Tribolium castaneum: one gene and its partners. The protein of the gene in region 7 purifies or fractionates together with the protein of the main gene of each other region. This does not show direct contact. Links are inferred from orthologs where the notes say so. Each region holds a gene or a part of one and is shown on either strand. Other genes may lie near its edges.

Region 1 (4,172 bases), on a different chromosome or scaffold from region 7:
AGACGGTACAGGTGTTTGATACCGTTCCTTCAAGACTATTATCTATTTCCTCACGAGACAGATGGCCAGGAAGGAAATGCGACCATCTGTCCGTGAAAGAACAGAGGATTTCTTTCACAAGGACAACGGACTGTTTAACCTAATTATTGTGGATAGACCCGCATATACCTGGGACAGATGGGACGTGTAATATCTATGCGCTGTTACATTTACATAACAAGATTAAGGCGCATCACGTGACGAGTATATTATTAAAACTCGTTTTATTTACTATGGACATGCGAACAGGTGTGTTGCAATGCATCGTATTCTAATTATCGACATGCAAACCTGTCTTTTCCGATCTAATAACTTCAGAAACTCGAAACTTGGCAAGAATTTTTCTTGTGGGAAGCACACAAAGAGTAATAAAAAAAAACATAACGACAGAATGAACAAAACACCAATTGTTACGCCAATTTGAGATAACAGAGTTTATTTATTAAGAACAATGAGCAATTAAAAGCCCCACGTTTTATTATGTCCGACCTGATTTAAAGCAATTGATTTGACATAAAACTGAAATCGGTTAGGTCACCCCCTAATGAATTTGAAATGTCACTCGTCGTTTTATTCCGATTTTAATTAACAAAAACAAAGGCATGATTCACGTCTTTATCGCGAATTAACATTACAAACGAATCAAACCCACGTCGAAAGACGGGTTTCGTTTCTTTTCTGCAATCGACAGATGCAACTCGAGGGTTGATCCGTGGGAAACTAACCAAGGTCACTCCGAACGCTAGACTGGTTTATACCATACGGCCGTTCTTGCAGCAATTATTATTTATCGAACAGGTCTCGTCGTGTGTGGTAGGCATCAGTAATGAACTCTATTGTGAGAAACCGATCGATTTTATTAAATTTCCATGTCGCAGGTAAGCATACACATATTGTTGCTCGTCCAGTTACCACACGAACCGAGAAAAATTTGCAATTTAACTGTTGTAGCCTATTGCTGCGTTTAATTTAACGGATTCTACTTAATATTGTTCCTATAAGTAATGGCTTCATCCCAGTTATCATTTACCCGTGAAAGGGTAACTGGGACTGCAGTCTACCAGGAAATGGGAACGCATATGAGCTAGGTAATCTAGCGCCTTGGCCGAGGTTCCCACCGGTACCACCCGAGGGTAAAAAAAGAAATCCGATCGGTGTCAGAAACGCAACGGTAAACAGAGAAAAGGGGGCCAAGTGAGCCGGAGCTAGGCCAGGTAAACATCCATTAAAAGCATCTTATCTTCTGGGAATGCCTCGTTTGTGAAAGCCGATGTAGTGACGTAGTCAGGTATAAGAACCGGTCGTACGAGACAGACCGACAACCGGTCTTGTGCGTGTAGCTCTCGACTACAACCCAAGATCCGTAATCCATTTGGCTCGTTGACTGCTTTTTTACGTCACAAGGTTGACTCTGCGACTAGTGAAAGCGTGTGCAGTGTGCACACACACACAGACGCCAAACTTTTGCACAATGGAATTTCGAAATTCGAAGCCGTTCACCTTTCTTATCACTGGACGAAAAAGGGGCTCGGTTTATTTTTATGACCGAGCGGACGTGTCAACATGCAGCTAGCTATAGCGCTGCTTTCCAAAATAAACATTACGTAGGCAACGCATAGAATCGGGATCACGACGGATGGAACGCGTTCCCCTTTAAGCCCAACGTTTTGAATGTCAAACGCTTCCCCAGGTTTGTTTTCGAAAAGCGGCCGATTTATGTTGATGTGTAGCGTCATCGTTACGTGTACAGAATAGCGTGACGTCACGCGAGTCTCCTTTTTGGAAGGAGTTAACCACCTCATAATAGATTGATCCTCACCATTGGGTTTGAAGGCGGTGGCGGTGTCGAACGAAGCCGTCCTGAGAGGATGTTTCTCCTGCTTGAAGGTCCTCTCCGTCGAAACGACGAACGGTTGCGCCAGCGAAACCGCCGGAAGTGATTCGCCTCTAGTCAGCGGAGGTCGAACCGCATTGCTGTGCTCCTCCACCGACATCATCCTCTTAGCTCCATTCATATCGCCGTTGGCGTGATGCAAGCCGTGATGATCATCATCATCAGCGGCGGACAAGCCCCGTTTCAAGCCCTGCTGCGGCAATCCGGGCCTGCCATTGGCCGAATGGTGATGACTCTGGAGTTGGTGATGGGCCAAGTGCGTGGCTGTGGGCAGCCTGACCGTAGGTCGTGCAACTAACGCCTCAGGCTCCTGTGTGGTCTCCATCTGTTGCGGTCTGGGTATGGCCGTTCCGCGGGGCGGCAGCGGCTGCTGCTGGGCTTGGTAGTCCGCCAACATCCCGGAACGCGGATGGTGCAAGCTGTACGTTCCCGAATGGTGCGTGGCGGGTTGTTGTCGGCTGGACGTCGCCACCACTTCGCCGTTCTGGTGCTCATGGCTGGAGGCGGCCGTCCGGTGGCTCTTATGCGAAGCTGAGCGCTGCTCTTGGAAGCCATGGGCTCGTTTCATCTGCCGTGCCGTCTCCAGGACGATCTCGATCCTGTCGGCGCCTTCGTAGTTGACGCACCCTCGACAGACGGGCTCGGAGAAGTCATGGACCATGGCCCACGGCATCCTGGGCAGGTCGCACAAGTAGCAATGCTGACGTTTCGCCTGCTGCATCTGCATGACCGACATCTTCACCATCTAATGATTATTTCCGTCACTGCTTTTTGCGGAACAAACTACTGTCACTACGGACACTACGACATAGTCGCGGACACACTCTGAGCACATCCAAACACTGCTGCTGCGCTAGAACTAACTGAACCCGACGATCAACGCAACGACAACGGTAACGGGGCCAGGGGAGAGACACTCGACTGGCTCGGTAATCGTTAGCTTGATGACGTCACGAGGCACTGAACACCAATAGCAATAAGGTCTACGTCACAGTTTGCGCGCGCTGCATTCGACGACTGCTGGCTGGAATAAATCCCATCCGAAATGAAAGAACAGCAGAACCAACAAGAGTCACTTCACTTGACTACAACGTAAATTAACAAAAATAACAGAATCACGCTTGGCCGACCAACCTGTCTCCGACGGGAGGTCGGACAGTCGACTTGACCTGAATTCCGCGCTGCGTCTATTCAAAAACTGACACCTTCTTATCAACCCTTAACCATCGCCAAGTCACATCCTTTAAGCAAATGACGCACTCCTTAACCTTTCGTGCCATTTTCACAGGACACAAGCACGCAAACGCACAATTCGTGCTTCCCTTCGAACGTTCCTCATTTTTACCCCGTTCTAGTTATTAGCCTAGGTCACGAATTTACTATTCGATACTTCGTTCATGTAAAAATAACACCGTCGCCGCCAACATTCTAAACAATTATTACTACCTAAGGAGTAGAAATAATAACTTGCTTTATACTATAAGAACACGAACTTAACAAAAAATTAAAATTTTCACACAATAAAAAATATCAAGTTGAAGTAAAATGAACATAAAATGTTCGCTTCTTAATTTTTTAGATTGTTTATCATCATCATTGGAAGTTTCTTGAAATAATGGTTGAACAAATTGTAGAAAAACACTTTTAGTAGTAGCAAAAAATCACTGCCCTTTTAGTGTTTGATGAAGATTATTTTATATTTGTATTTTATTTATTGAAGAACGATTAGTCATAATTTCGAAGAATTACATTCAGTAGCCCACACAAAAATATGTTCAATGGAACTATGTTTTATAGGCGAAATGTCTACAGTCAGTGTCGATTTATTTAATTATTTATTTTTAATTTTAAGAATTCTAATATGTAAAAATAAAGCAAAATACAAAGAAAATCGTTGAACAAAAAATCGAGACATTATTATTAACTAAAGTGATTACAACATATTTCAAAATAGCGTTGGTCTTTAGTAAATACCGCTTTAAATACTGATTTCTCCTTAAATATCACGGTGTTTTCTAACGTATATCTACGATTTTCGTTAATTTTTGTTAAATCATAATACGTCACAATATAAACGGAAGCACATTTTGGATTAAGTCCCAAAGCTACGACAAAGCTATGTTTACAAAATATCATGTCGAATTTTGAAAAATCGTCGGTGCAAATAAATAGATAGCAAGCCTCTCGATATTCGATCAGCGATAGCGTAAATATATCCAGAATTCAACAAAATATGTTT
Region 2 (4,059 bases), on a different chromosome or scaffold from region 7:
TCTTTTTGAGTTCTTTAGCTCTCTTGTAGATGTCCATAGCCTTTTTGTGGTCGGGTGCAAGTCGCAAGACTTGCTGGAAGTGGTTAAAGGCGCTGTCCAAATTATCTTCGTAATAAAGACACATTCCCCGTACGTAAATCGCATCAGCGTTTGTTTTGTCCAAATGCAAGGCCGTGTTGGCGATTTCTTGCGACTCCTGGTATCGTCCCAAGAAAGCCAAACATTCGGCTTTCATTATTTTGTAACGTGTGCAAGTTGGCGCTTCATCCAAACACCTATCCATGCAGTAAACAACTTTTCGGAAGTCTTTCTTTTCCATTGCTTTTGCTGCCTCTGTTTCGAACTGTCTCAGTTTTTCGAACGAACGAGTTTCATTGTTGATGTTGGCGTTCTTGTCAAGCAGATTGATCTGTTTGATGGCATTTTCTGCTGTTGTAAGGTCGCCAAGGGCTATAGCGCATTTCAATATTCGAATGTAGCCTTTGCTGAATGCGGGATCGATGGTTATGGATTTGCGTGCATCCTCCAATGCTTCTTGAAAGTTGTTCAACATCATGTAACATGCCGAGCGGTTCGAGTAATAGGCGGCGGTTTCGGGGCATAGTTCGATGGCTTCGGTGTAGAGATTGAGGGCAGATCGGTATTGCTTGACTTTGTATAATTGATTGCCATTTTCTTTTTTCAATTCGGCAAGCCTGAAACAAGCACGGCTTTCACAGGAACAACGCAACTTAAGTGTGACCAGAATGAGTGAAAATTGCCTTTTAATGGAGTGAATCACGCTATGAAGACAGAAAATTATAGGAAAGAACTGGGGAAAAAACGAATATTAACAATGATATAACGGAAGTTCACATAACTACCAACTTATCAAATTTAATAAGAATTTGGCTGAGTAACTAACGATGTTAACAACCTATTAAAAACAATTAAAAATAACGACCCAAACAAACATAAAAAGCTTACTCTACTGTAAACTTTTTCTCTCATTTTCTTCTGTCCGTTTTAGTTTGGTAGTAGTTTGCCATAAGACAAAGAATAAAATATTATTTTACCTAGTGCGGGGTCTGAATACAAAATATCTTAAATAATTAAGTAGGATAGAAAGGACTTGAGGCATTAGGAAAAAAGTTAAAGCTGAAATACGAAGAACTATAACTTAGGAGACGAAACGAGATACAAAATCGTACGATTTTCTGAACCCAAAAAAATAGTACGGTATTCGTTTTCAATTAATTTAAATCCAACCAATTGAATAATTACTTGGAGATTTCCATAAGAAACATGAGAAAAAAATATTTTTTAAAGATAAATTAAATGGGAAATTTTATCAGTTTTAATTTTGGTAAGAAGATAAAAGTTGATAGGAGTAACCGTTTCCGAGACAAAAAAAAAACAAAAAATACTTCTTTAACCCCCTCCCCCTCCTCAAGCTCACTCCCCACCCTCGGGAACTTTTGATATAATTCTACCCAAGTGTAAAGAATGCTTTAAAAAAATCCAACTCTCTAAGAATTTCTTTGTTTAATTTAACTGGGCTAATTCACTAATCTCCGAGACAAGGAGCAACAAACAATATTGCAGAAACAATATCTACACGTGAACCAGTAAATGACCTACCTACCAATATTACCCTAATTTCATGCGATTTGAAACGATACTTCATTAGAAGAAAATATTAACTTTTGTTTTTCTAATTTAGTAAATATTTAATCAATGAATTGATCTGATTTTCATTCGTGACTAAGCAAAAATATAGAACAAACTAGCCAATTAACATGCTAAACTGTGAAAATTTAAGGGCCATAAATCGTTGTTACTATAGCAACAACCAATAAAATTGCTAGATTTCTGATTTTAGGGTGGATTAAATTTTAACAGCCCTTTAAAACTTATAGCATGGACCTCAAAGTCGTAATATTCTGACGAAATAAAAACCTTAGTGGATAAAAATTCGTTACACATCCAGATTAGGGTTTTTTGAATTGGGTTCTCTTCAACTTTGATCACAATCATAGTCACAAATAGAGTTTGTAAATAAATCACATTGTTTTTATCTTATCAAAAACCAACACTCGTGTGGTCAATGTTTATTCCTTCGGTAGGTTACATTTGTCGTTAATAAACAACAAAGATAATCCAATTTAAAAGTGAGAACCTTACAGTTCTTATGCCCATTTATGAGGTAAACAAATTCAAAAACAACACTCACATATTGTGGCAATCCTCAACTTCCATGGTCTTTCTCGTTACAAATTGGTAAAAACCGCGAAAGTGTCACAGTGACAAGTTAGGAGAAATAATGCAAAGGCCATAAAATCCACGTTATAAATAAAATAACTGTCCAAACAAAAGGTTAAATTGTTAATTTGCACGCCGGACCAAATATAAACACTGAACTGTGGAGGAGTGAACCAGTAATTACAAAGGTGTACGACCTTAGATTAAAAATAACCCACGGAAATCGTTAAGACTGCACAAATCAAATTTAAAATCGCACCAAGTGGTTCACTGAAATAACCGAATCAATAGCAATTAATTGTGGGAAATTGCAGTAACAAATGTGAGTCAGTGACACTCGTGTCATCGACATTTCGACGTGAAACCCCACGAAAGCAGTGCTCAAAATCGAGGAATAAATCTAATTGTTGTAAAATAGCACTTACTCGGCTGGATTTTTTGGAATTATCAAATCTTCAGAGTCCATAACAACATCTTCCCCAAAATCTGCCATCTTGCACAAGTTGTGAAACGAGTAAGACCGATTCATCACCGAATTCAAAATTCGTACTGTGGGCATGCGCACTAGCTAATTTGTGACCAATCGATAAATTTTCACCAACGCGGGAATTTTGAAACGAAATGAATGGAAATGCGTTTGACAGTATCGCCTTCAACGCCAACAAATACGAAATCGACATTAAAAACTACTTCGTAACGCGCCAAGAGGACGACAGTACTCAGAGCGACACTTCGGACTCACAAACGGACCAGTACTTGGCCTGTAAAGGAGTTAAACTGCCAACTGCGGAACCACACATTTGCACCTGGGATTATTTAACAAAACCTGAAGTGATCCACTTGATGGGCATTAAGAGTAAACGACTCAAGAGGAATTTCATTGGTAGTAATATTACAATCGTTTAAAATTTGCCAAGTTTTCGTTGCAGAGGGAAAATTGCACAAAAAGCCCAAGGGACTTCCCCGGATCATATTCAGGGAGTTGATGTACTCTGTGACTAAATTCTGCACGTCTGCCAGTTACACCGTGGAACAAACTGGGGCCTTGTTGTCACAGTTCTACCTAACTCATTTATTTTTCACCAGTGTTTTGGATGTTGGTCCTGAAAAATTGTACGAGTATTTTAAAGGACTGCAAATGTGTCATTCTCTACCAGTAAGTGATGGGGGTCAAGTGTGGGTAAAAACTGTATTATTTTTAGTTCCCACCACATAGTATCAAATTGTTTAATTTGGAACAAATTAAGAACAATATGGTTTATTTCTGTAAACTATATCTTAGAAACCTGCCCTTGGTCAGGTTCTTGTGTTTGCCCAATTTTTCCCTATGTGCCCAACACCGCGTACAACCAGACGTCGCTCCACGTAAAAAAGGGAAGAAAAAAGGGAAAGGCAAAAAGGGTAAAAAAGCAAAAAGAAATGATCTATGAAATACATTTATTGAGCTATTCTAATTGTTTTATTCTTTGTTCGAGTTGTGAAACAAGGGTGCTTTGATGTTGGTTCAACTGCTGATGTATTGTAGTGGCTGCACTGTTGAGTGTTTGGACCAAAGCTGCTTGAGCTGTTTGCAAGTTTGGTATTTTTTCCAGTTCAATTAATTCGTCTTTACTCACAAATTTGCCCTCAAATATGGCAGCTAAAGGCATAATTAATTAAAAATAACAAAAACTGGATTATACAATACCTAGTAAGACAAGCTGGGGAAACCTTTTCGTGATTTTTAGCAATTTCTTTACTTCCGGTTGCGGACTAAAGACCATAATGTTTTGCGAGACGTAAAAATCCAAAACCGGTTCAAATTTCGTATCCTTGACT
Region 3 (3,029 bases), on a different chromosome or scaffold from region 7:
AAATTGGACTAAATACTCGTGAGGCGGTTATGACGACATAATTGAAATTGAAATAATTTAACTTAAAGCGCGGATATAGAAAATCGGTTTTCGTTATTGTATAAGTAAAGGTAATAAGCAGTTCTAGCACTATAATTTGAGACAAAACTGTTACTTAAGTTGCCAATGCTTTTAAACTAATAGACAGCTGGATAATAATTGGAGGAGAAACAAGATCAAAAATAAGTCAATTTTCTGTGCTCAAAAGCTTCGGGTTTCGAATTTAAATTGTTTTAAAGATCTAGGTTTTTTTGGGTTAGACCTGTTTTAATTTGGAAATCAGTGTCGACATTGTCCTGAAGATGCCCCTCCTGAAGAGCGGGTGAAACGTCGACGCTGGGTTTCAAATTAACGCGGTCTAACCCAATTCTTTATTTGGTACTAGCCGCGAAAGCTTGTGTTAAATTGGTTTAAATTCAACTAGTTCACTAATTACTTGGAAAAAAAGGCAGGAACATTGGGCATCAAATTCTTAATACGAGTAAGTTGACCAAAATTTTCATAAAAAACATGAGAAAAAAAATTAAAGTTGCTTCTGTCTCAAACTTTTCAAAACGTTGCGAATATGGTGAAAGATACAAGAAAAATATAGGAAAGAAATTATTAAATTTAAATAAGTTGACTTTTCATGAGCCTTAGCTTTTAAATAAATTTGACACTTTACGAAATTCAGTATAATAACTAATTACAAAAATACAGACTTGAACCGAGCGTTTTGTGCCTTAACTATGTACGTACCTTATGGAAAAAACAACTTCTTAGTCCTTCATCAACTACTTTAAAAATGTGATCATTTTTCAAGAATAAAATTTTTCGAAATTATTTTTAGTTTTCGAGTTATTAAAAAACAATTTTAAATGGCACCCTACTACCGCGATTTTTTTGGTAAGATACCTTGATAAGTAGGCCGCTTGGGTCCGTGCTTTTCCCAAATCTGTATACATTTACTTCTCTCTTGCCCTTTTTTTGCGTTTTTTTTTTCATATCGTACTCAGTTAATTACATCAATGTTTAAGCTCCCCTCGATTTTCTTAGAGAGTGTATAATTTGTAATGAATTTGCACATTTGCTTTAAAATTCCGGCCTGTACTACTAAAATGACTAATTTTGGCATTTTCCGACTAAAATCTGCGGTTTTTCTAACTCTAGCCTCTTTTTTACCCTCTTAGAGCAGGTCCACAACGATTCTGAGGACTCGTCTGTTAGCTTTTTCTCCTTGTTGTAGCCCCCATTCATTGTGGCATTTTTTTCTAGATAAGAAACGTCGTATGTACGACCAGTACGGTAAAGAAGGGCTCATCAACGGCGGTAGTCGTAGTCGCAGCCGCCACGATGACGAATTCGACTTTGGCGGTTTCGGTTTCTTCACTTTCAGAGATCCGGAGGACGTTTTCAGGGAGTTTTTCGGGGGTTCTACTCTTGCCGACTTGTTTGGAGGTACGTCCTAAGATTGTTTTGTATTTTTTGTTAAGTTTGAGTCGTAGATTTTCACGATCACGGGCATAGAGACCGGCGACGGAACAGACATTCACATCCACAGAATGCTCTCAGTTCGAGTCTGTTCAGCCCGTTCGGGGTGAGTCTGGGGGGTAGTTTCATGGACGAGTTTTTCAATACGGGCCATGGGGGATTCACCTCCTTCAGCACCATAAATAGTACGTTTACAAACGGGGCGGGGGGCACGGCCAACGTCAAGAGGACGTCAACGTCGACGCGCTTCGCCAACGGGAAGAAAATCACCACGAAGAAGTGAGTAGTGGATTTTTGGTGGTATTTTGAAGGTGATTTTGCGGTTTCAGGGTGTACGAGAACGGGAGAGAGACGGTGATGACGTACGAGAACGATATCCTCAAATCGAAGACTGTGAATGGGGTTCCTCAGAGTCTGACGTACAGTTAAACACACTGCTACTTACAAAATTAGAAGAATCTACAATTTATGTGATCTTGATGTTGATCGATTTCTGGCCACGCAGTGTTGCCAAATTGTCAGTGTGTGTATTAAAGACTTCTTGCAACTGGTTTCAAGTTTTTTTTATTCAGTTGTACAATAAAATATTATGATTCTGTTTTCAGAATTTTTGTAGTATCTTAATTTTTAATAAGATGTTATGATGATGTAAGAATCGAGGAGGTTTTTACATCATTGCAGTTTAGGTTAGCTAGAGATAGGAATTGATGACGCTCTTGAACGAGAGGTGCTCAGGATGAGTTGTTTAGTTACTAGTTACATTTTTGTCATGTGAAAAAGTTCGGTTTTCGTTTTGTTTTTGCCAAGACTGCTCATTTTTTATTAAGCTTGATTCAAAGGAGGAATTAACATGGAAGAGATATTTTGTATTATGCAACGTTTTAATTTTAATTTAATATTAATTTGCTAGTTTTTTCCCAAGCACTTACTATTACTGTTAAGTACACAAATGATTATACTATTAATGTGTGCTTAGAGATGTACAGTCACAGTGTTAGAAAAAATATAATATAAACGATTTCCGCATTTTTTATTTTAATCCCACCAAAACAGACAGCTGGAAAACAGAGTTCTCACCCAAATGGGACCTTTACAGTCCAATAGAACACCACTGTGTCCATCCGAATTGGCTATCTACAGTTTACAACTTCGTTTATTAGTAGTGCCGAGTTTTTCGAATTGTTGATTTTTTGTGTAAAAATATTACGTTTCAAAAAATCGTGTTTCTCTAAACATATCGCTGTCGAAAATTAACTACTCTTGTTAGAATTTCGAAATGTAGAAAACCAGAGTGGTAATATTAAAAATTTCACCACGTTCTTGTACTTATTGCCTTTAGAAGTCTATAGATAATAATTTTTTAGTGAAAACATCAGGTCTATTCATTCAATGGTTTTGGAAATATCAATATTTAAGATTTAGTTAAAGTTGTTTTTTATCGTCTGTTTGATTGATTGATAACTGATAACTAATTCGGTATTTAGGGAATGCAGACACACTTTAATTTGGTAAATTGTTTA
Region 4 (4,017 bases), on a different chromosome or scaffold from region 7:
TGCTCAAATTCTATTGCGATCATGGCTGTTAGACAACGTTGCCACATATCATTTATCTAAAATTAGTTATTTATCAATAACTTTAATACAAAAATTTTTTTTACTATGTACCATAAAAATCAAGTATTCCGTATTTAAAATTTCTTAATTAAAACGTGTTCTTTTTCAATTAATAGTGATATTTTAACAATTATTTTTAACTTTTGCTTATTTTTTGGTTAATGAGCTAACGAGAGATAAAGACAACATTTCCAAGGCTAATAAAATTTTACGTTTTTCAAAATTTTCAATTTTTTTAAGGTTCGATTAAATTAAGGTATACATGTGTTATACCATAGAACTCAGAAAAAATGCTCTTTTCAAAAATATTAATTTGACCCTTGTTGTTATTCAAAAAAATCAAGTTATCCTTGTATCCGAAGAACAAATGGAAATATAAATTTAATAAACATCTGAAACGATACAATTTATATACTCTTAAGCATATGCCCAATTTTAATAAATTTTGATTAATAGTTTTTATAATATTTAACTGTATCCATATTTCAGTGATCCTGTATAAATACTTATGGTATACTAATGTTTAGTTATACAATGTCATGTTGATACCAAACTTCAAAAGCTAGTAGCTCGCTTACGGTTAGTCATACAACAATAAGGCTAGGACCATTTTGTAGGAAATTTTATCTACTTTAATTTTGATAAGAAGATAAAAATTGCTAGGGGTGACCGTTTTCGAGATATAAGCAAAAAAAAACAAAAAAAACAGTTTGAACCCCTCCCTTTCCTCGAGCTTGCCCCCCCATCTTCGGGGACTTTTGGTATATGTCTGACGAAATGTAAAGGAAGCTTTTAAAAAAATTACTCTCTAGGAGTTTTTCCACCATTTTTGTCTAATTTGATTGGGCTATTTATCGCACATTGGGTTTAACTCTATTGTCCTCTTTAGCCTTAATGCTCTATCTGCCTATATTTAATTTTGTTTGCCTTGTTTTTATTTTTTCTGAAAACTGCGCACTCTGGTGACAATAACAGAACTATCGTGTACCGAGACAGGCAACCAACAATACACTATTTTTTTAATTTTGATTAAAAAACTATTTTCAATGAAATTACCGTTATGTACGTTCTTTCACTAGTAGAATAATGTAATTGAAACAATGTTACGCTTGATTAATTAATAAATTGTCTGAAAATGTCAAAAAATATATCCCTTTTGACAGATCGTGTGGTGGGGGAATCTTCAATGACTGGAAACTTCTCGAATAAGAATCGTCGAGAAACGTGTTTTTGTGATTATTAAGTGCCGGTCAAAATGGAACAAGTAAGTACACATTTATTTAATGCAAAAATCCTTTTACGATGTTTCGTTTAGGTCGCCGCTTTGAAAGACAAAGGCAATGCCGCACTGGCCGCCAACAAGTTCGAAGAGGCAATCAAACACTACACCGAAGCCATCAAACTCGACCCCTCGAACCACGTCCTGTACTCCAACCGTTCCGCCGCCTTTGCCAAAGCCAACAACCACGAATCGGCTCTCGAAGACGCCAACAAAACGGTCGAACTGAAGCCCGACTGGGCCAAGGGCTACTCGCGGAAGGGGGCTGCCTTGGCCTACCTGGGGCGCCTGGACGAGGCCATCGCCACGTACGAGCGCGGCTTGCAGATCGAGCCCGCCAACCCCCAGCTCCAGGAGGGGCTGCAGGAGGTCAAAGCCCAGAAAACAGCCAAGGGGTTCCCCAATCCTTTCAACCGACCTGACCTCATGGAGAAGCTTCGCGGGGACCCCCGGACCAAGCCCCTGCTCGATGACCCCAACTACGTCGCGACGCTCCACATGCTCAAAACAAACCCCAATCTCCTCGGCCAGAAACTACAAGACCCCAATATTTTGACCACGTTGAGTGTCTTGATTGGAATCGATCCGGGGGAAGAACCGATGGAGACCGAACCGGTGTACACGCCACCGAAGAAGCCCGAACCGAAGAAAGAACCCGAGCCGGACTTACCCGAGAACAAGAAACTGGCGAAAGCGGCGAAGGAACAAGGGAATGAATTTTACAAAAAGAAGAATTTTGAAAAAGCGATCGAGTTTTATAATCAGGCGATTGAACACGATCCCACCGATATCACGTTTTATAATAATTTGGCGGCGGTTTTTTTCGAACAGAAGGATTACGATCGATGTATTAAGGAGTGCGAGAGGGCTATTGATATAGGGAGGGAGAATAGAGCCGATTTTAAATTAATTGCAAAGTCGTTTCTTAGGATTGGGAATGCGTATAAGAGACTAAAGGATTATCAAAATGCGAAAATTTATTACGAAAAGTCAATGTCCGAACATAGGACGCCTGAAATTAAAACTCTGTTGTCCGATGTTGAGAAGATTATCAAAGAAGAGGAACGGAAAGCTTATGTTAATCCAGAATTAGCTGAAAAAGAGAAGGAAATTGGTAAGTTTTAATTTTCGATGGAAAACAAGTTGGTAAAATTGCATAATGTGTGGCTCTATTTATTGAGCAAGTGAACATGCTCAGGTTCCTTGTTAAAATGATCAATTTTTAAATAAAAACACGAATTTCAAAGTAATAAAAAAGTTTACTCAATTACCAAAAATTTTAAATAAAGAAACATCTATTAGCTGTTTCAAAACTATAAAAACACCAACCTCGCATTTTACTAAATTATTTTTAAAAATAAGGTTGATAAAACTGTAAAGTAATTATTAATAATTTGTCATTGAATCCACAAATTACATTATCTATTAACTTTTTGAAGTGCATGAATAATTTATGACAGTTAGTTTTTAAAGAAAATGCGACGTTGGCGTTTTTATAGTTTTGAAACAGTTAATACTTACATTTTTATTCATACAATTTAGAGCATTTACTTGCAAAATTTGAAGTAAAAGCTTTTACTTAATTTTATTCATACGGCCCTTTTTTTATCGGTTTTTATTTTTTCTTCAGCTGTCATTTCGAATTCGTAAGAAAAATCATTGCAAGTTCATATAAACGCGAACTATTTAATTAAAATTCTAATTATTAGAACATTTTTTGATTTTATTTTAGAAATTGTCACCAAAAACTAGAAAATGATTTAACAATTTCTTCACTTTTTACCGATTTCTATTGCTTCTTAGTTATATATATTTTTTGTAAAATTACGTAATTCTTGACTAATTTTACTTAAGAAAAAGTGGTTATGTAATTAACAAATTTAGATCAAATTTTTCTCTGAATGTAATTAAAAAAAATCACAAAGTAGCAAATTTTAAATAAAACAAATGTGCCAATCTTAATTGCAAGAGCAAATAGTTTTTATTTTATCTAAAAGGTTTTTATGTTTTCTTTAGCTGTTGTTACAAATTTGTAAGAAAAACCATTTAAATTCTGATAAACTCGAATTATGAAATTAAAATTTTGTATATTAGAACATTCTTAAATTTTATTTTAGAAATTACCACCAGGAATTTAGAAATTTGCCCAAACCTTTAAACGCTTGGTTTTAAATTAAAAAAAAAAGCGATTTAACAATTTATCTGCATTTTTGGCCGATTTTTGTTGCTTTTTAGTTGTATATATTTTTTTTATTACGTAATTCTTGGCAAATTTTTCTTAAGAAAAGTGTTGTGTAATTAATAAATTTACATCAAACTTTTCCTGCCCGTAAATTAAAAAAATAAACATAAAATAGCAAATTTAAATTAAAAAAATGTACCAATCTTAAACCCAAAAAATACTAATTATGGTATTGCCAACCCGATGGCTATTTGACACTTGATTACAAGAACAAATATCTTTATTTTATCCAAACGGTTTTTATTTTTTCTTCTCCTGTCACTTCCAATTTGTAAGAAAAATCGATTAAATTCGGATAAACGCGGATCATTTAATTAAAAATTTATTTATTAGAACATTTTAAAAAAGAAATTAAAAATTTTTTGAACAAATTATTAGAACGCTTGGTTTTAAAATTAGAAAATCATTTCTATTGCTCCTTAGTTAAAATTGCGAA
Region 5 (4,294 bases), on a different chromosome or scaffold from region 7:
CAATTCATCAATGCCTTTGTACATTTTAATCAACTCTTTAACCCTCAAAGGCAAGCCGTAGAAAGGCCCAACTTCGGTAAACGTACCATTTTCTTCCCCAATCGTCTCACTTTTGGCTTTTTTCACCGGTATTACGTCTTTAGTAATGTTTGATAAAAGCACTTGCTTTAAGGCCGTAGCAAAACTCGCATTAATTCCAGACATTGTAATATCATTCTCATTCTCATTATTTTTATCCGATTCTTGTTCCACTTTTTGCGTCCCGAAAAGTCCTTCCAAAATTTTCGAAATGTCTTTATCGACAGACTCAACATCTGAGCCCATTACGCTGACCGAATGTTCGATTTGGTCGAAAAATGACTCCAATTCGTCGCGATTATTTTCATTTAAAACGTCTCCCAAATTCTCGCTTATTTTTGCACCCCAATTTTTCTCGCGCAAAATTGTGCTGTTCGTGTTACTCTCACTTATTATGGTCTCAATCTGGTTCAAGGCTTGACTGTTCTCAAACAGTTGAGTTAATTGAGTCAGTAATGGTTTTTTTGGTGATTCGTTTGGGTCATTTTTTGATCTGAGAGACAGTGGTGTTTTTTGTGAAGCATCAACAACTTTATGTAAGGAATTGTCGCTGGCTGAGCGCGTTGAAAGTGCCGTACTTTTATTAGTTTTATCATTTAGTAGCTGAGTTAGATCAATATTATCAAATAAATCGTCATCAAGTGAACATTCCTCCAGTTTGCATTTCTTATCAGCGGCTATTTTTGCCTCGTTAGACAACCTTTTTTTAGTCCCGGTTTTGCAACCACTATGATTTTCCGGAGGTTTCTCACTTTGTACTGTAAAAAAATTATTCATGATGTATAATTGGTTGCACAATCGGTAGAAAAAATTATTGAAATTATTTTATCAATTAGAGGCGCTAATTCCATAATATAGACAAACGTAGAAACGCGTTGGGATATTAGTTATTACCTTTTTTATTTTTTGAAAGCGAGAGCACAGAGAACTTTTGACTTTTGTTTTGGGATAATTGTCCTCGGGGTGCTTGAGGAACTAGGAACTCTTCATTGTTGGGCTCTGTAGAAACTAAAATGACTATTATGGTAATCTGAATACAAATACAAAACCTGGAGGTATTCTTTTGTGGGGTTGCTTCAAGCTGTTCATTTTATCACCCTGAATATTAACCAATAACACTTTCACAAAATTAGTAATTTATCAAATTGCACCTCTATTGCTACATTTATCTATTTTATTTAAACCATTTAAATATAAAATATTAAACACAAAACTGCAAATAAAACAAATTTTCGAAATATAACTTTTGACAGACAAATCTTGAACTTGACAATTGTTTCTTTTGCGCCGAGACGAACACGAGCCAATCACTGTAATTAATGCTACATGCTACAATGCTACTTTTGTAGTAGCATTGGGTTAGTAGATATTGTATCGTCTTTAAATTTTATTTATTTCAATAAATATTAATCATTAATTATTTAATCAGACTTTGGCGCTTGCTCGAATTCGCGCAATGTCAAACTGTAAATGTCAAAGAAATTTTAAAAGTCGTTCACAAAAATTCAACCTTGCTAAATATCCAAAAACGGGAAGATTATAAACACTCAACACATCCGTGCATTACATTAGGTATGTGTGGTTACAATTAACACGAATTCGTTGTAAATTACATATTTGAGCCAAGAGGTGGAATGTTCTAGAACTGATCATCGGTGGTGTTCTAGCACTTCAGAGTGGTTCAAGTGGTTGTGTATTTCCCTTGTGATCCTTATGGTCAACCAGTTGCATTTTAATTACAGTAACCCGCCCATTATGGAAAATGAAGATAGTGAAACGGCCGACAGTGAGGAGGTCAAGTCACGGGCCGTTGTGAAGTATTCCGTTCCAAAACCGGCCCAATTCATTCGATTAAAATGTAACACCGACTTAAACCTACCCCCTTCAAATTGGTTGAGTAGTTCGGCCGATTCTTACGGCTTACAGCACGTTCTCTACCACCAGAAGGGATTTTCAAGGTTAGCTCTTGTCTTAAATTGTTCACTTGAGAAGTTTTCTATAGTTTCAGAATGGCCCACATGTTCCCTGACTGTGTGGGAGAAGTAGATGTGGTTTCGGATGCGGAAAACATAAAAAACCTGCTTAAAATACCCTACTGCAAAAACCACATCAGTATGATGGTTCACAGAGTTGAAAACACTCTCCTACTTGATGATTTTGATATTTACAAACATTTATTGAGAACCTCCGAAACTGAATGGAAGTGGCTCAAAGAGTTCTTTTTCGAAAATGTCAACCATGAGACTTACGAAGAGGACAAGAATATGTACATTAAAAATCGAAGACGGGAAACCTTACAACAGAAAAGTCTAGTTTCGAAATTTCTGTATCATAGTTTGGCCGAAGGTGATACTAATGAAAATACGTGTTATGAGGACCCGAAAACCCTTCCTGTACCTTTACACGGACCCCAATTGCCTGAACCTGTCTCCGCAACACCCGATCCCAAGCCCTTTGATCACAATTACAACAGAAATGTTGTTTGGACTTTTGAGGACATTGAAATGTTAATAGGTACGGTATTTTTGTAATTTTGCATTTTCCTTGAATCAAATTTTTTTATATTTTTCCAGGTACGGATTTACCGATATTCGGTGGTGGCACCCACCCTTGCATCTCACTCCGTCTTCGAGACGTCAGTAAACCAATCAACGTGCTAACAGGCATCGATTATTGGCTAGACAATTTAATGTCAAACGTTCCCGAAGTCGTAATGTGTTACCACTTGAACGGCATCGTCCAAAAATACGAACTTATCAAAACCGAAGACTTACCCCGCTTAGATAATTCAAAATTTTCCCCTAAATTAATTCGAGACGTTGCTCAAAGCATTTTATCGTTTCTTAAGTCAAACGCGACCAAAGCCGGCCACACTTATTGGCTATTCAAGGGAAAAGACGAAGAGGTTGTGAAATTATACGACTTGACCTCACTTTGCTCAGAGAAAGATGTGGAAAATGGTCAAAATCCCTTCACTATACCTGTGGGTATGTTATTATACCGAGTAGCGCGTAATATGAAACATACATCGGATCGGCAACCCGGAACAATCCGGATGTTGCTTAAAAACTGTGTTAAGTTGCTACCGGAGGAAAAATACCCAGAAGTGGTCACGTCCTCGCACTATATGTTGGCCGATTTGTACGTCCCGGCAGGGACCAATCCCGAAGCGCCTGGTTTAGAGCAGGAAGTGGACGAAAATGATGAGTTTGACGATGACGATTTGATCGACGATAAAGACGATAAAGCTACGAAAATTCTCGTCTTGGATCAGAGTGATTCTAGGGAGAAATTTGTTAATTATTACAAGTCGCCACCGCCGATTACGGGAACTGTGGAAGAGCGGTGTCTACAAGCTGTACAGCATGTGGCAACCGGGCTTAATTGCTTGCAATACTTCCAACAACACCAAACTAGTGCTAGTGGTAAAAAAACAGCCGAAGAGGAGGAAGTTCCTGTTGCCAAGCCTTTTGAACCGATTCCAATGCCGTACGGGAAGCTTGATTCAAATGATGGTCAAAAGAAACAAAAAAAGAAAGACAAAAAAAAGAAGAACGAGAAAAAGAGTGAAAATGCCCTACTTTTGAAAAACAACACTCAGCCTTTGCCGACTTGGCAAAACGGGACGGGAAATATCTCATGGAAGGACCATCTCAAGACTTTACTTTATGAAAAAGCGGTCTTGGTTTATGCAATTTTGTCGGAACAACATTTCGGTGGCCGAAATTACGGTAACAGTTTGAGGACGATTGGTTTGTTGGCTAGATGTCAGTTGGTGATGAACCGCCTCCTTTACAATTCCAACGCCTTGAAGGAGAATTGTTTGCTGGGCAGAGCCGGCGATTGTTGCATTATGATGATCCAAAACTGGGATAAAGTCGATAGTTACCGCCAGCAATTCCAAAACAATTCCGAGGAAGATTTAAAATTGATGGAACAGCTCGAAAAAGACGAGCAATTGTACAACATCCACATCGGCGAGTCGAACATGAAGTGCGTTTTCATTTACGATATTCGCACAATCGAGCAAATTCTTCTCAAAGGTGTGGAGTGTTACGAAGTGGCGTTAAAATCAAGCGAAAATGATAGTATTTTACGGCGGTTGGGTAACGGTTTAAATGAAGTCGCCTCGTTTTATTTGAATAAAGCCAAGTCGGCTAAAACGAGCGATCTTACTGTGGAAATGTGCAAAAAAGCTGAACCGTACTTAACGAGA
Region 6 (3,898 bases), on a different chromosome or scaffold from region 7:
ATGGCCGAAGTAATGGAGTATATTTTTAAGTTGGAATAATTTTTTCATGATCAAATTAAATTATTGTGATATCTATATTAAGTTGCTACAATAAACACTATTTCATCGATTGTTCCTTTTTTTTGTTATTATGGAGCAAACAGACACCGTGTACTGTCTGTGCTAAGACTAATTTTCTTTCTCTGAGTACTGAATAGTTAGTCAAAAAACGTTACTAAAATTAGTACCGCACCTTACAATTTCTGCATAAGAATGCTTTATTTCACCTTTTGAAGCGTCAAAATGTTTAAATTAAAGCTATAATTAATACTCAACTAAAATGTGCACTTACCAAAGAAGGGTGGAAATATTCCTGCAAATGTTCCTCCTCTGAATAAGATTGTCTTTAAATAACGAGAAACAAACCCACTAACACCATAAATCCTTACTAATACACAAACTAAACACTAAAACAGCGTTAAACAAAAATAATGCTAAACTACAAAACATGACAGGTGCTAAAAGGCGCGCCGATATTGCAGCACTACCAACGTAACAGTGTAACAGAAGTACCAACACCAAAAAAGCGCGAATTTCAATAGTAAACAGCCTTCGGTTGAATATGTTTTAGTGTTTTTAGTTCAATTTAGTGCTAGACACAGTTCTACAGCGGTTAAAAATTACAGTGTGTTATGGTGTTAGTTCCAAAATTCAAATTTCACTTTAGTGCTCTAAGGCACTTATTTATATGTTGGAGAAGTACATTTTCAAAATTAGAAGTTCACAAACACCACCAATTATTGCCAATTATCAATGGCAACCGCACGATACATGAATGTTTTTCTAAATTTTTGGAAAAATATTAAAAAATTTATTGTTTTTTGTTTATTCTACGTAAGTAAAGGGTCTGCTTGTTGAAGTAACTAGTAGCTAAAAGTCTGTGAGTGGTTGTGCATCTTTTTTTTTGGGGATACCCTCACGTTAAAAATACAGACTGATCCAGAAATACTGAGTCTGTTGGCGACACTGGACTTAAATTTTTAAGGATACTAATGGAATACGCTTCCAGTTAACAACAATTTAACATTCTTGTGGGGTTGTACGTCAAATAGTTGTCAAGAAAAATCGAATTCGGTTGCAATGTTACAAATTACAAGCACAAACACTTTCAAATGTGTTGCCAACAGACTCAGTATTTCTGGATCAGTCTGTATTTTCGAACTTATAGAACTTCGGAACAAACAATCTATGCTCAACCGCGCCCTCTACAAATCATTCCGTCTATTTGACGTTTTAGTAGTGGCGTTAATTTGGGTGTATTTATAAAACAGAATTACACACAATAATCCATTACTTAGTTGCGTTTTTTAAGTACAAATTGCTTTGAATATCGCACAGCGATAATATAATATCAAGATTTTGCGGAAATTGTTTTCCCGAAAGCCACTGTTGTGCAATCGATTTTTACATATTTTCCGATTTACTAGTGAAGTAAAACAATAAAAACTTACATTAATGAGTGCAGTGTGAATATTTTACGCTATTGTCAAGTTTTTGCTGATTTAGGAAAAGAAATGGAATTATCCAGGTAACCTAACCTCACTTTTGGGCTTGTAGAGTAAGACGCATTTATTTTGTAGTTTATTGCCCGCCCCCATACAACCCGTATGGGATCGGGACGACGAGAGACGGCAACAGAATGCCACAACTCAACGTTCCACATCTGTTGTAACAGCCCAAAGCATTGCCCCACCGTATGGACAAAGAAGGGGTTGGGTCCCACGAGTCCACACCGACTATGGAGGTAATTAGCCACCGATTTTTTGTAATTAAATTTAACTACGATGGGACCAACTTTTTTGATTGGTCCTATTAAATTTTATTACAAATAATCAGTCAAGGACGTCGAAAAGTTTTCACTATCACTGATTTTATTGCAATTTATAGATGGAGGCGCATTTCCCGAAATCCACGTGGCCCAGTACCCTCTTGACATGGGGCGAAAGGGCAAAGAATCAACTTCAAACGCCTTGGCCGTCCAATTGGACGCAGAAGGCAAAGTCAAATACGACGTAATCGCACGTCAAGGCCACGGCAAAGACAAAATCGTCTATTCAAAACTCTCCGATTTGTTACCAGTTGAAGTAACCACAGAAAATGACCCAAGTCTTGCTAAACCATCTCAGGAGGAAATCGAAGATATCACAGAAAAAACCCGTCAAGCATTACAACGCCTAACAAATTCAAAAATCGCAGCTGCAATGCCAGTCAGATGTGCCGAAAAACAAGGCCCCGCTGAATTTATTCGTTACACCCCTTCACAACAAGGGGCCGCCTTCAACTCGGGTGCCAAACAGCGCGTCATTCGTTTGGTCGAAGCACAAGTTGATCCAATGGAGCCCCCACGTTTCAAGATCAATAAGAAGATCCCAAGGGGGCCCCCTTCGCCCCCAGCGCCCGTTTTGCACAGCCCCACACGTCGTGTCACTGTTAAGGAGCAAAAGGAGTGGAAAATCCCGCCCTGTATTTCAAATTGGAAAAATGCAAAGGGTTACACAGTTCCGTTAGATAAGCGTTTAGCTGCAGATGGTCGGGGGTTGCAACAGTTGCACATCAACGAGAATTTCGCAAAGTTGGCTGAGGCTCTATATATTGCCGATAGAAAAGCACGAGAGGCTGTGGAAACACGCGCCCAACTCGAGAAAAAACTAGCTCAGAAGGAAAAGGAACAAAAGGAGGAGCATTTGAGACAGTTGGCTCAAAAAGCTCGAGATGAACGTGCTGGGATCAAAGTCGCTGATGCTAAAATCACAGATGAGGAGGAACGTGAGAGAGAAATGCTGAGACAGGACCGGCATAAGGAGCGAGCAAGAGAGAGAAACTTGGCAAGGGCTGCTCCCGATAAGCGTTCAAAGTTGAAGAGGGAGCGAGAGCGAGATATTTCCGAGCAGATTGCTTTGGGGATGCCTGCCAGAGGAGTCTCCTCAAACGAGGTGCAGTTTGATCAGAGATTATTCGGACAGGCTCAAGGTTTGGGGCATGGATATGGGGACGATGACGCGTATAATGTTTATGATAAGCCGTGGAGGGAGGGGGGCTCAATGGCCAATCACTTGTACAGACCTAGTAGGAATGTGGATAAGGAGGTATACGGTGAAGATTTGGAGAAAATCGTCAAAACGAACCGATTTGTTCCGGATAAGGAGTTTAGTGGAACTGATCGGAATGCGCCAAGGTCTGGACCTGTACAATTTGAGAAAGAGGAAGATCCGTTCGGGTTAGATCAGTTCTTGAGTCAGGCTAAACGGGCGAGCAAACGCAAGGAACCGGAGAGGAGGGATGAGAGGGATAAGCGAAAGAGAAGAGATTAAAATATTGATTGTATTTGGGTTTTTTAAATAAATACAATTGTAGAAATTTTTTGTTGTATTATTGAGCAATGGCAGCGTTTGCTGCAATACTTGGGCTGTTGATGACTTCACCCAGACTCTCCAAGAGCTCTTTGCGGTAGTCGTCGAAGTCGCCGTCTAATTCGTTTATGGTCTGGTCTTCTATTACGTACAAGGCGCAATCAGTTTCACTGTAACAAAATTAGTAATTTTTTTTTACACAAAACAATAAAATTGAGTTTTATGGTCGAGCCGAAATTGTTACAAAAACTCGATGGAATTTCATCTTAATTTAAATTAACGAACAAATTAAGTAGCTAATGCAAATTAAAAATTAAATTCACTTCTAATAGTGCTGGTAAACGCATACTTCGCAGCCTGAAATTAGGACGAAAAATATAAAATTTCTATAAAGGGAGGCGAAAAAAGAAAAGAAAGAGTACATTTATTTGCTCTTACCGTATAAGTCGTTCGTCGTGGCTCACTATAATAACCCCTCCACTGAAGTCGTTAATGGCCTCAGCTAGTGC
Region 7 (2,930 bases):
AACTTTGGAATATCCCGGAAATCCTGAAATTGAACCGAGAATCGTGGCAATCAAAAAACTGAAATCGTCAACTGTGTCTGCGTGTTTGCAAGACTTCGAACGGGAAATTAACATTATGAAGACTTTGCAGCACCGGAATATTGTTGAAATTTTGGGGGTTTCCCGGGAACCGGATATTTCCCTAGTCATGGAGTTCGTCCATCATGGCTCTTTGCAGAGTTATTTGAAAATCAATCGAGAGTCGTTGCAAATTAAACAGTTGTTGAAATTCGCGCTTGACATTGCTGAGGTTTGTGGCCTTATTATTTAACCAACTTATCAAATAACATTTTTTATTGACTAGGGAATGAATTATTTGGGCAAGAAAAACATCGTCCATCGGGACTTAGCCACCCGGAATATTTTGGTAGCTGACGAAAACCACGTCAAAATCTCCGACTTTGGCTTAGCGCAAGTCATTGGCACTAATGACTATTACATCTTGAAAACAAACCGGGAATTGCCGATTAAATGGTAATTAGCGAAAAATCACGACTTGAATTACTTTGGTCTTGTTAGGTACGCGCCTGAAAGTTTACGAGACGGCAAGTTTTCCGTGCGTTCCGACGTTTGGTCGTACGGTGTCACAATGTGCGAAATGTTCAACTGGGGCGAAGAGCCGAAATTGTCGAATCTGGGAGAGGAGGAAGTCAGAGGTCAAGAGCAGCAAGTTCTCTTGAACGCCTTGGAGAGCGGGGCCAGGTATTGGTCCGTTGCTGACTTCGTTGGTTTTATCGTTGCCTTTTATAGATTTCCGTGTCCTCCAATGTGCCCACAAGCTGTCTATATACGGATTATATATCCGTGTTGGCACGCGGACCCCCACGAGCGGCCCGCGTTTAGCGTCCTCGTCCAGGAAACGCAAGACCTGCTAACGCAGTATTGAGTGATATTCAGTGCCCATGCAAGGGTGAGCACAGGAAAGAGCACCACTTTGTATAATCTTTTGTATTAAGTTATTCACAAACGCCTATTTAAGATCAAGTGTTAGATTTTAGTTTAAATAAGTACCTGTCGTTTTTATTATTTGCTCAATTTATTTGGAACAAGCACTTCTCGTGCCATTTCTCAGTGCAATCAACTTGTAAATATGTATATTCTATATTTTAAAATAAATGTTAATTTAAGGTTTTTTGCATCATTTCGCTGGACCATTTGTCTCTTTGAACAAATGGCCATTCGGTTTAAAAAAATGCGTTAAAAGCCGCGAATTAATAGCGATAAACATTGAATAATGGTAATGAAAGTACAATTAAGCAGATTTATGGTGTTTTGGGGCGTTTTTTATTGTATTGATTGCGTTTTTCGAGGCGGTTTCGAACTAGTGGGACTAAGGAGTAATGGAACTTTCTAGATTTTGAATCAAATGACCAATGAGTTGTTCCTGTGCTGAATCAAATTGATTTAAAATTATTAGATAAACTGGCGTCAACCAGCAACGATAGCTGCAACAGAATGGACATAGATCCATCTCCGAGTACTTCATCCGGTAATAAATCCTTCTTATCAATATGTTTTTAGGTTATGTCAAAATTTTTGTGTTTGACTAACAGCCCGAGTTTCAGGCTTCTTAATGGATCTGACGTACTCAGGATTGCCAAGGATCGATGAAAACAACACCGTGGATCCCAAATCGCCCAAAGAGCGGGTTTTAGAACTGTTAGATATCTTAGAAAGTCATGTTGAGAAGTTGCGGAGGGAAGCGGCGCAGTTGGAGGAGGACCGGGACCACTTGTTGTCATCCCTGGACTCGGTTAGAAACACTGATTTAATAGTCGACTTACCGGATAGTAAGTATACCAAAAGTAAAAGTCGTTCGTAATTAATTATTTGTAAGATGATAGGGATGATGTTTGCCAGTACGCTGAGCGCATCATGAGCCGCTGCCTCACGGTGGAAGTGAAGATTTTAACTCAGCGTGATAAGATGCAAGAAGAAGCCTTGCACCAAGTGAATCATTTGATAGACAGTCTTGTAATGTGTGTGAAATCGGATCCTGAAAGTGCAAAAGCTAGATGTATAACCTTCATGAATGCTTGTTCTTCGAATGTGGTGCACGGGATCACGGATAAAAAGTTCGAATCGGCTTTGTTAGGATGTACCGTTGACGACCAAAAACGGGTAAAGAAACGGCTTCAAGGTTTGTTAAATTACTTTGATAAACTTAATGTAACTTCGATTCCATAAACTTACTTAATAGTGCGTTGTTATTGATTGTGGCCCGCTTATTGCCATTATATACACATTAAATCGTTAGTATTTAACCAATTGAGTTGTCTTCATTACGGCTTTAATACAACACAGTCGTGTTAACTTAAAATAGCCACTGTGATTGTTTAAAAGACACTTTATTTATAATTGATGAATTAAATAAAATTATTAATTCATGTATTACTTATTTCCGTGAAATAAAATACTTAGGGTCTCTTAGATGAGTCACTGTAAGCGCTTGTTTCAAATCTTCGCTTGTTGTTGGTGAATCTGCTATAAAAGTGACTGTTGTAACAAGAGAGTGTTGAATAAAACCGTTTTCAAGAAAGTGGCCTTTAATATCGTGCGGGTCCAACCAAACGAAAAGACTAGGGGCGTCGGCTTTCACCCACACGTGGAAGCGCAAGCCTTTCGCGTCAATCATATCAACTGAAATAATCTAAAACAAAGCTAAAGCTCTTATCGGTTAATCCCCCGGAAAAATTACCTCAACATTGGAGTTTTTAAGTTTAGCTTCCTTAAATTTTGAAGGGAAAAAGTAATTAGACGGGGTCAAAACTGTGCCGTCTTTCCCACCAACAATATGCACAAAGCAGTTGTATTTTGCTACATCTGCAGCGCCACACCCGGAATCGGACAAAAATTGGTCCACATCGTATGATGCAACTAGTCTTGCCACC

What was found.
Region 1: the proteins of BAG family molecular chaperone regulator 2 (region 7) and interferon regulatory factor 2-binding protein 2 purify together in Homo sapiens (affinity purification with mass spectrometry; 3 studies listed by BioGRID and IntAct, with this or other methods). This does not show direct contact. The link is inferred for Tribolium castaneum from reciprocal best matches to the Homo sapiens genes BAG2 and IRF2BP2.
Region 2: the proteins of BAG family molecular chaperone regulator 2 (region 7) and Tpr2 purify together in Homo sapiens (affinity purification with mass spectrometry; 7 studies listed by BioGRID and IntAct, with this or other methods). This does not show direct contact. The link is inferred for Tribolium castaneum from reciprocal best matches to the Homo sapiens genes BAG2 and DNAJC7.
Region 3: the proteins of BAG family molecular chaperone regulator 2 (region 7) and mrj purify together in Homo sapiens (affinity purification with mass spectrometry; 4 studies listed by BioGRID and IntAct, with this or other methods). This does not show direct contact. The link is inferred for Tribolium castaneum from reciprocal best matches to the Homo sapiens genes BAG2 and DNAJB6.
Region 4: the proteins of BAG family molecular chaperone regulator 2 (region 7) and Stip1 purify together in Homo sapiens (affinity purification with mass spectrometry; 3 studies listed by BioGRID and IntAct, with this or other methods). This does not show direct contact. The link is inferred for Tribolium castaneum from reciprocal best matches to the Homo sapiens genes BAG2 and STIP1.
Region 5: the proteins of BAG family molecular chaperone regulator 2 (region 7) and erythroid differentiation-related factor 1 purify together in Homo sapiens (affinity purification with mass spectrometry; 3 studies listed by BioGRID and IntAct, with this or other methods). This does not show direct contact. The link is inferred for Tribolium castaneum from reciprocal best matches to the Homo sapiens genes BAG2 and EDRF1.
Region 6: the proteins of BAG family molecular chaperone regulator 2 (region 7) and Bx42 purify together in Homo sapiens (affinity purification with mass spectrometry; 3 studies listed by BioGRID and IntAct, with this or other methods). This does not show direct contact. The link is inferred for Tribolium castaneum from reciprocal best matches to the Homo sapiens genes BAG2 and SNW1.

The regions. Positions count from the first base shown.
Region 1 is NC_087402.1:6,594,834-6,599,005, forward strand, and holds the start of interferon regulatory factor 2-binding protein 2, read right to left. Parts: upstream 2,801-4,172; 5' UTR 2,679-2,800; coding exon 1,859-2,678; intron 1-1,858. UniProt on the Homo sapiens protein: Acts as a transcriptional corepressor in a IRF2-dependent manner; this repression is not mediated by histone deacetylase activities. Represses the NFAT1-dependent transactivation of NFAT-responsive promoters.
Region 2 is NC_087398.1:7,331,344-7,335,402, forward strand, and holds the start of Tpr2 (dnaJ homolog subfamily C member 7), read right to left. Parts: upstream 2,801-4,059; coding exon 2,667-2,800; intron 2,351-2,666; exon of another isoform or gene 2,239-2,350; coding exon of another isoform or gene 2,213-2,238; intron 696-2,212; coding exon 1-695. Other genes in the region: uncharacterized protein LOC103313090, read left to right, coding at 2,863-3,124, 3,171-3,397, 3,444-3,671; mRpL10 (large ribosomal subunit protein uL10m), read right to left, coding at 3,687-3,880, 3,929-4,059. UniProt on the Homo sapiens protein: Acts as a co-chaperone regulating the molecular chaperones HSP70 and HSP90 in folding of steroid receptors, such as the glucocorticoid receptor and the progesterone receptor.
Region 3 is NC_087395.1:20,017,595-20,020,623, forward strand, and holds the end of mrj (dnaJ homolog subfamily B member 6), read left to right. Parts: intron 1-1,293; coding exon 1,294-1,476; intron 1,477-1,523; coding exon 1,524-1,788; intron 1,789-1,838; coding exon 1,839-1,938; 3' UTR 1,939-2,529; downstream 2,530-3,029. UniProt on the Homo sapiens protein: Has a stimulatory effect on the ATPase activity of HSP70 in a dose-dependent and time-dependent manner and hence acts as a co-chaperone of HSP70. Plays an indispensable role in the organization of KRT8/KRT18 filaments.
Region 4 is NC_087395.1:1,458,302-1,462,318, reverse strand, and holds the start of Stip1 (stress-induced-phosphoprotein 1), read left to right. Parts: upstream 1-1,217; 5' UTR 1,218-1,315; coding exon 1,316-1,324; intron 1,325-1,375; coding exon 1,376-2,453; intron 2,454-4,017. UniProt on the Homo sapiens protein: Acts as a co-chaperone for HSP90AA1. Mediates the association of the molecular chaperones HSPA8/HSC70 and HSP90.
Region 5 is NC_087397.1:550,043-554,336, forward strand, and holds the start of erythroid differentiation-related factor 1, read left to right. Parts: upstream 1-1,494; 5' UTR 1,495-1,650; intron 1,651-1,820; 5' UTR 1,821-1,833; coding exon 1,834-2,036; intron 2,037-2,080; coding exon 2,081-2,592; intron 2,593-2,651; coding exon 2,652-4,294. Other genes in the region: mus301 (helicase POLQ-like), read right to left, coding at 1-836, 973-1,086, 1,128-1,167. UniProt on the Homo sapiens protein: Transcription factor involved in erythroid differentiation. Involved in transcriptional activation of the globin gene.
Region 6 is NC_087397.1:9,848,808-9,852,705, reverse strand, and holds Bx42 (puff-specific protein Bx42), read left to right. Parts: upstream 1-1,245; 5' UTR 1,246-1,553; coding exon 1,554-1,567; intron 1,568-1,619; coding exon 1,620-1,783; intron 1,784-1,926; coding exon 1,927-3,350; 3' UTR 3,351-3,398; downstream 3,399-3,898. Other genes in the region: qm (terpene synthase), read left to right, coding at 1-39; ATP-binding cassette sub-family F member 1, read right to left, coding at 3,409-3,559, 3,828-3,898. UniProt on the Homo sapiens protein: Involved in pre-mRNA splicing as component of the spliceosome. As a component of the minor spliceosome, involved in the splicing of U12-type introns in pre-mRNAs.
Region 7 is NC_087396.1:11,144,974-11,147,903, reverse strand, and holds BAG family molecular chaperone regulator 2, read left to right. Parts: upstream 1-1,312; 5' UTR 1,313-1,494; coding exon 1,495-1,528; intron 1,529-1,604; coding exon 1,605-1,829; intron 1,830-1,876; coding exon 1,877-2,226; 3' UTR 2,227-2,430; downstream 2,431-2,930. Other genes in the region: hop (tyrosine-protein kinase hopscotch), read left to right, coding at 1-289, 344-513, 559-741, 790-925; beta-mannosidase, read right to left, coding at 2,435-2,689, 2,738-2,930. UniProt on the Homo sapiens protein: Co-chaperone for HSP70 and HSC70 chaperone proteins. Acts as a nucleotide-exchange factor (NEF) promoting the release of ADP from the HSP70 and HSC70 proteins thereby triggering client/substrate protein release.